Ovis aries: one gene and its partner. The protein of the gene in region 2 interacts with the protein of the main gene of each other region in a biochemical or structural test. Links are inferred from orthologs where the notes say so. Each region holds a gene or a part of one and is shown on either strand. Other genes may lie near its edges.

The links.
Region 1: the proteins of MYO5B (region 2) and RAB11FIP2 form a complex in vitro, tested with the Homo sapiens proteins (2 studies listed by BioGRID). The link is inferred for Ovis aries from reciprocal best matches to the Homo sapiens genes MYO5B and RAB11FIP2.

The regions. Positions count from the first base shown.
Region 1 is NC_056075.1:37,836,463-37,840,733, forward strand, and holds part of RAB11FIP2 (rab11 family-interacting protein 2), read right to left. Parts: intron 3,585-4,271; coding exon 3,142-3,584; intron 2,435-3,141; coding exon 1,969-2,434; intron 994-1,968; coding exon of another isoform or gene 969-993; exon of another isoform or gene 1-968. UniProt on the Homo sapiens protein: A Rab11 effector binding preferentially phosphatidylinositol 3,4,5-trisphosphate (PtdInsP3) and phosphatidic acid (PA) and acting in the regulation of the transport of vesicles from the endosomal recycling compartment (ERC) to the plasma membrane.
Region 2 is NC_056076.1:49,853,895-49,858,165, forward strand, and holds part of MYO5B (unconventional myosin-Vb), read right to left. Parts: intron 3,496-4,271; coding exon 3,339-3,495; intron 2,262-3,338; coding exon 2,022-2,261; intron 1-2,021. UniProt on the Homo sapiens protein: May be involved in vesicular trafficking via its association with the CART complex. The CART complex is necessary for efficient transferrin receptor recycling but not for EGFR degradation.

The DNA.
Region 1 (4,271 bases), on a different chromosome or scaffold from region 2:
ATTTTTAAGTTCATGTAAATAGGCAAGTATAAGGCAATTAAAAATTTGAGGACACCTATTTTTCCACATTCTGCCATAATTTAAAAATCATTTTCCTACCATGTCCCATTGTTTTCACTTTTATTTGACTCTAAAATTATGTAAATTACCCAGTCTCTAAGTTATCTCAGATAGTTCTTGGCAATAACTTTGTCCAAAAAAAGTTCAGCTGAGGGAGAAAAAAGCAACTGCATTTCTATCTACCTCTGTAGTTTCTAACGCAATATGGGAAGTACAGCATGCAAAATAAAAAACTGAAATGTTTGAGAACAGCGTATCAAAACCACGGACTTCTCAATAAAATATTAATACCATATGATAAAAACATATTTCTTTGAAGTATAGTCGATAAAGAAAACTGAACAATACTTTCCAAAGCTACAGTGAATACCCATTTATTTTGATAAAAGAAGACGAAAGAAATACTAACTTTCCCTGGAAAACTCTAAATGCATGTTTTAAGAGATCAGAAGACAGGCAGGAGATCACAAGCCTAAAAGGGCGATTATTAGCACTATTTTCTGTTTATAGTGGGACAAAACAAAGCAACATTCTTGAACAAAATATGACACGGCACTATATAAAACGTAACAGCAACCACTGTTTATGGGTTCCCTATTTGGGGCCCGGCTTTATGCCACGTACTTTATCATTTATCGTCCCCCAATCCTACTGAGAACGTCTCATTTTCCTTATTTCAAAGACAGAGATGTGGAAGTTGAGAGAGGTCACAGAGCCACTGAGGTTTCTCACTGGAGTCTGACCACCACATGTTCTTGCCTCAGGAACGACTATGGTTTACGGCAAACAGTCTACCATGCTCCTCCATGATAGCTGCACAAGATTCCAATAGATCCACCTTATTTTTTGCTTGAGGTTTCCTTAATCAGCTATTCCACCATTCACTTCTGCAAAATGCATCATCTTACTTAGGCCATACAGTTCCAATCTGTACTAAGGAATTAGAAAAGTACTATTAACATAACTGAAAACTCAAGGATTTTGACAGTCTAAACCTTATCATGATAGATTATTTCTATAAGTCATCATTACAGATACTCTGTGATGTATTTATAGTACCCCCAAGGTTCACTGGATTCCAATAAACATTACTCCAAATAGCCATTTAATAAGGATGTATGTGCATGCTAAGTCGCTTCAGTCATGTTCAACTCTTCATGACCCTACTGGCAGTAGCCTGCCAGGCTCCGCTGTTCACAGAATTTTCCAGGCAAAAAAGCTCTGAGTGGGCTGCCACGCCCTCCTCCAGGGTATCTTCCAGACCCAGGGACTGAACCCACATCTCTTCAGTCTCCTGCACTGGCAGGAGCATCCTTTACCACACCCTTGCCCCTGGGAAGCCCTTAATAAGGACAGTCATCACCTACAAAGAAACCACGGGCTTCCAAGGATACAGAAACATAACAGACTTCAAGTCCATGGGGTCACAAACAGTTAGACAAGATTGAGCAACTAACGTTTTCACAAAAACCATTAATACTTAACTTAAGCCAGTATTTCTTAAAGAATAGTCCATAGGCTGCTACTGGTTCACAACCAATCAATGAAAAATAACATCTAGAAACCCAACTCATCACTTAAGATTTCTGGCTTGAATTAGCACCCACTGGTGATTCCCTCTCACCACACCTCATCAAAAGCTACGTAGTGTTCTCCATAAGTTTCTGAGAGTTTCTGGCCAGCGTTAAGTAGAAAGAAATATAATGCGGTGGGGATTAAGAATCTTTTATCCTTCTAAGATAAAAAGTTCAGTTCCAAAGATGTACACACCGCCTGGCTCCAAAATTAATTATGAAAACAAGATTAGCATTTTTCTCAAATAAAGTGAAAGGAATTTAAAAAGGGTATTTGATACTTTCAAGTAGAATATTTTCCAGAATAGCACAACTTCCCCACATTTAAGCTTACCTTGAAGATGGCATAATATTTGAAGCCCTGAATTTTGTTGTAAACGGATTAGTTGACTCATAATCAAAATAGTCCTGCCGATGTTCACTAAACGCATTAGGTGATTTCAAGTCACAAGGGCTATCGGCTCCCCCGTTGTTAAGTTTATCAGATCGTCTGTCTTTTTTTCCAGTCACTCTTTCAAAGAGGCTGACTTTCTCCCTTTTTTCTCTCTTGTTTTCTTTTCTTACTTCAATTGATTTTGAAAATAAATTCACGCTGCTGTCCCATGATTCACTGCTTTCTTCAAATGGATTTTTCTTCCTTGGCAGTGTTGCAAATTTTTGGGGTAATGAAGCAGTCACATTTGTAAATAGGTCATTTTGTCTTCCGAAAGACGATTCACCTTCATCCACACTGCTGTCAGGCTGGTTCATTTTAGAAGTATCAAAGCTTAATGTTCTTCTGTGTGGAGATTTGAGACTTCCTGCAAACAATTTTGTAGTTAGTACATAATCAGTGACACATTATATCACACTATTTGACACATCCTGTGTGCATACTACTGGTTTTAGAATGAGAGCAATTAGCTATTTAAAGATATTAACCTTTTAAAATAAGCAAGGAAAACAATCTTAAAATGCTAAGGTACAGCAGTATGTAGGCTAATAACAATTAGTATATTGCTGGACTATTAGTAACTTACTCAGCTCAGAATGAAACAATCACATAAACAAATTATAATGTCAAAACTAAAGGTTCTGCTCAGCATTATAGTGCTATAGAAATTCTCACTGTTTTTTCATCAGTAGTATTAAGTTTACTTTCTTACTTCTGAACAATTAGATTCTTTTTTAGGAAAATTCTGATGAAATGGAATATTCATTTATGTTTCAGGCTTCTGAGACAGGAGAAATGACAGTTAAAAAAAAAAAAAAAAAAAAAAAACCAGGCCATGAAAAGAGACCAAGGCTCATCTAATTCTATAAATACAGTATTGAATTCAGACCAGCTCTGTCTTTAAACTTACCAATTTTCAGTATAGTAGGTACTCAATAAATATCTGATGACTAATTTAGGAAATGCTAGCAAGAAACCTCAATTTGTTACTAATTTTAGAAGTCAAACTTTAAAAATTAGGAAGGTAGTTCAGATCACACAGGATCAACCAGAAAGAACGCATACATCACTTACCACTTTCCGGAACTGCTCCAAAGGAATCTATCTGGCGGCCAAGAAGATGCGTTTGAGCAACGGTGCCAGACTTCAGCTTCTCCGAGCATATGTGGGCCCCAGTTAAATCAGACATTGAATGTGCTGAAGAGAGTCGCTGAGGACCCAAAAGGAAAGGCTTTTTTGGTTTAGATTTCATCTGTATTTCACTACTTGAAAATTCAGTATGGGCATCAGGCATGTGAGAACTTGGAATGATTGCAGAAGATGTATCAGAAAAGGTCCCATCATTTTTTCTACCTTTCATCTTATCTTTTAATTTTGCAAAAGGAGATCTTGTTTTGTCCTTCATTGATAAGTCAAACATACTTGCTGTCATATTGTTCCTCATAAATTGAATATTGACCTTTATCTCACCCCTGTTTTTGGCTCTTTTTCCTTGTTTGGATTCTAATCTAAACCACCTTAAAGAGAAGGAAAAACTGGGTTGTAATATGTAATGAAGAGAGGATTATCGAGCTCTGTTGTACACAAATTGCTTTTTAGGTAAAGTTACTCTACATCAAGGCAGTCCAAGCACTGAAGGAGAAACTGTCGCCAGAGTGTTTCTGGTTTTATTCATGGCTTCATTTAAAAAAACAGGGAGGTCTCTGCCATGTATCACATGCAGAAGGAACCAGTCTTTTTTGCAAAGCTATTTAGACAACTTTTTCTTTCATGATTTGAAAATCACACATCAAAATTTCTTACCAATAATAGCTATTATGTTTCCTTCTAGTCCAAATGTGGCTCATGGCTGAAGAATATTTTTTAGCATTAAGACACTGAGGTAGAGACCCTGAAATAATTCATCAATACATACTATTTTTGAGCACCATAAAATAATAAATAACAATCAAATTTTAATAAAATAATATTCAGCCTCTGAGCCAAAATAGTTCTGTAAAAGCTATTAAAAGAATTTTGTTAACATGGGAGACTACTCCATACAGTTTGCTCATCATGAAAATTGCTTACAATGTAAATTGCGTGCGTGTGCACTAAGTCACTTCTGTCGTGTCTGACTCTGCCACGCCATGGACTGTTGCCCGACAGGCTCCTCTGTCCACGGAATTCTCCAGGCAAGAATACTGGAGTGGCTTGCCATGCCC
Region 2 (4,271 bases):
TTGACGCCAGGTCACACACTCCACTACAAAATACTGGCTGGTCCAAGGATGACCCTATCTACAAGAATGAACTCAAAACAAAGCCAAGAGTCTTTCTTAGACTGAGGAATTCTCACATGTCTGAAGAATCTCCTAATATGCAGATATCCCCACATGTGGTTGGAGGTGGCAGAACATTCTCTGGAACCAAATTGCCAAGTTTCAGTCTTAACCATGCCACTTCCTAGCTTTGCGACCTCATAGGCTACTTGGCCTCTCTGTGCCTCAGATTAAAATGGGAATAATGTTAAATCTTACAGGGTGTGGTGAGGATTAAATGACTTAACAGGTGAGGAGAGTGCCTGGCACACAGTTGAGCAACAGGGGGAGGGACATAAGAAAACAAGACCTAACTACCCCTCCCTGCCTTCTCTCCTCACCCTCTGCACACAGGGCACCCTGCCCAAGGAGCGTAACACTGGCCACTGCTCATAGATGTTGGCCAAGTAGGAAGCTTAAGGCAAAAAGCTCTTTTTAAAAACAGGTCTTTTAAATCTGACATCCCAGTATGTGGAGTGTAAAATACTAGATTTATTTTTAACATCTCGAGTCAACTTCGGAAATCAGCAATGACAACACAGGGACCAATGGCTGGAAGAGGCGACCAGTACATGGGGCTCTGGGCACGGCACAATGGTGCTTGCAAAGCCTGCTCCTTCCTCTGACCACACTGTTTGCTCAGAAAGTTAATGGGGGCAATTTGACTATGCGAATGTCTTTCCCGGCCAGTCGTCAATAGCCATAAAGTAATAAGAATGATGGCAACGAGAGCAATAATACAGTTCCGCCTTGCACCTGTGTTTTCCACATGGCTGAGCCCAGAAAACCATTTTTCCTGTTTACTCCTGATGCTCTGAGCAGTTGCGTCTTCCTCCCTGACCTGATCTATCACTGTGGGCCAACCCTGTGTGAGCTTTCTGTCTCACTTCTCCACCAGGGAGCCGAGCCAAATGAGACACCCATGGGACTCACACAGAGACAAACACCCAGGGTGACAATTCCTTCTCCAGAAGGTTGGTCTTTTTTTGCAAGAACAGAGAGACAGTAACATTTGACTACTTTGGGGACTCCTGTTTAGGGCAGCTGGTTTAGGTGTAAAATGGCTCATTTATTTTCTTGCCCTACTGGGATCACGAGAAGCTTTAAAAAGTGCCTAGTGTAGACTAGGTACAATAAGACCAGTGACCACCAAGGCAACGCCAACTCTCTCTTTCTCCATCCCTTGCACCAGGCATGTTCACCCCCTTTCTTGCCTCCATCCTCGCCTTTTCTTTCTCAGAAGGCGCCAGAAACCCTCTAGGCATTCCAGGAGCCTGGTACTGAGGTCAGTAGTACCCTACAAGCCCAAGGTACCAATGAGCCTGCTTTCAACTCTAGAAACCCATTTTAGCCATGACACAGGAAAGGACTGACTCTCTAGTGACATTTGGGGTTAAGAAACCAACATCACCCTCGTTATGGCTGTGGGACCAGGCAGACCTGGGCTGGAGTGCTGGTTCTGCTGCTACTGCTAAGTCACTTCAGTCGTGTCCGACTCTGTGCGACCCCATAGACGGCAGCCTACCAGGCTCCCTCATCCCTGGGATTCTCCAGGCAAGAACACTGGAGTGGGTTGCCACTTCCTTCTCCAATGCATGAAAGTGAAAAGTGAAAGTGAAGTCGCTCAGTCGTGTCCGATTCGTTGCGACCCCATGGACTGCAACCTACCAGGCTCCTCTGCCCATGGGATTTTCCAGGCAAGAGTACTGGAGTGGGGTGCCATCGCCTTCTCCGGGAGTGCTGGTTCTAGCACTTCCTAATTCTGTGACCTTGGCCAAGTATTTGATGCTCCAGATCCACAGTTCGCTTACCCATAGAATGGCCTCGTGAAGCTGCGTGGGAATCAGTTGAGAGCTCCCCTGGGGAAGCTGTGGGTCTCTCTCAAACGTGCCCATGGAGTCTCGCCCCGGCCCCAGCCCCCAGGTGGGAGTGGAGACACTGACCTGGTCGTCGATCTTCCGCTGCAGCTGGACGATCTTGTTCTCCATGCCCACGTTGAGGCGTTTCAGGTGCTCCGCCGAGCGTGCTTCGATCCTGAGGGCCTTCAGCGCCTGCTTGGCCTTGAGCCTCCGGAAGCCACACTGGATGACAATGGCCGCGCCCCGCAGCCGCTGGAAGCGCCTGCGAGCCATCCAGCCCCGCACGTGCTTCTGGATGACGGTGGCCTTGTGCTCCCTGAGGACCTAGCGGGGGACAAGCACACACCTGGTGGGTCTGCGCTGCACAGTGAGAGCAAGGGGCTCGCGCACAGCTCCGGAGAGGCGAGAGCCAAGGTTGGTGAGCTACAGCTGCCCTATGACTTGAGGCTTTGGTGGCCATCTGTCTTATGAACAAATTGCAACTAAGTCTGGTGGCAGCTGTCAAACTCTCATTTCTTTTTTTTTTTAACTCACTAGGAAACCACAGTCTAAAAGACCCCTCAAAGTCAGAGGGGCTTAAAGATTATCCAGCTGATAGCCCCCCATTCAACAGATGTGGACCCTCTCCTGGTGACAGTAAGCTGGAGGCGAAGTGAGACGGTTGTGTGGGACTGTCGAGTGGGTTAATGGTTTACAGTTAACTTGGCTTGTAATTTGGTTTTTCTTTTTTCCTATACAGTTAAAAAACCACTCAGAAAATTAAAGCATCATCAATGTCCTCACTGTAATGCCCTACAAAATAAACGTTTGCGGAATGAACGAAAGTATTAGTTGCTCAGTTGTGCCTGACTCTTTGTGACCCCATGGACTGTAGCATGCCAGGCTCCTCTGTCCATGGGATTCTCTAGGCAACAATACTAGAGTGGGTTGCCATTCCCTTCTCCAGGGGATCTTCCTGAGTCAGGGATCGAACCCAGGTCTCCTGTATCGCAGGCAGACTCCTTACCATTTGAGCCATCTTGCCCTTGGACTGGGACTGTACCATGACTGCCTGGTCCTCAGGCCTGCAGACTTGGGCAGAGTCACTCCCCTGGGTTTCTCGAGTCTCCAGTGTGTACATGGTACACTGAGAACTGCTCAGCCATCATACCTACATGTGTCAGTTCGTCATAATAAACCTTATGCGCACAGACATACACATCTCCTATGCCTTCTGTCTCTCTGGTGAACCCTAAGTCACTGTGCCTCATGAGACTTTGGTCAGGATTCGGTGGGAGCAGAGTTGTGAAATTCCGTAGAAAAAAGTGAGACGTGCCCAACAAGTGCTGAGGTTGGTGCCAAGCCGTCTGCTGCTGCTCAGGGCCGAGTCTGCAGCCCGAGACCCTGGGGGCGGCTACGCACCTGGTGGTAGATTCTCCGTACAAACATGCCCCGAGCGAAGGCCTGGATGACAAGGGCGGCCCTGCGGACCCTCTGGTAGGCCCGGCGGGCCCTCTGCATGCGGTACTGCTTCTGGAGCACCACGGCCGCCCGGGTCCTCCGCAGATGCTTGGCCAGTCTGGGGAGGGAGAGAGAGGTGGGCCCTTCGTGAACACAAACCCCTTCCCCCTCGGCCCTGTGTGGTCACCTGCCGGCTAGGCCAATTTGTGTCACTGTTACCGACCGTAGCAAGGCCTTGAGACACAGCTCAGAACAGAACTGGCTTCCTCCACCTCGTCCAAAAACTCTTGCCACATATTTACAACTCAGTCTAAGTCTGATCAACTCTGATCCTCATCCGTCTACTCCCTGACCCACAAGCCTCTCCTATAACCTGGGCAGCCCTCAAGGACATCACATGCTCTCATGGGTCTGTCCCTGGACCTCACCAGGTTCGGAGGGGTCAGGGGCTGGGTATTAGCATCCTTGTACCTCTACACCTAGTATAGGGCCTGGCACAGCAGCACATGGGAAGAATCTGCTGAATGAACACCACCTTCTCAGGCCTGTGGCAATCCCTCTTTACTTTCTCACCTCCCAGCATTTCTGCCGGGGATGCACTGAACATGGGCATCTACTTTCCTCTGTTCCATTTCTACATTCCCCATCTCACCCCTCAAGGCAGACATAAAGTCAGTCCAACACTTTTTACCCCCTGCAAGGGCTCTGTTTGGTGTCAGACTCATAGCAAGTGCTCAACGAGACTAAGAATATTAAAAGCTAGAAAGGACCTTGGACATAATCTAGCGCAACTCTGGAGTGGGAAGTAACTCACTCAGCCCTGCTCTGCTTGCTTAAATGAGTCTGATTCCTAGTGCAGCTCTCCCTGAACACTCTCTCTAGAATACAAACTCC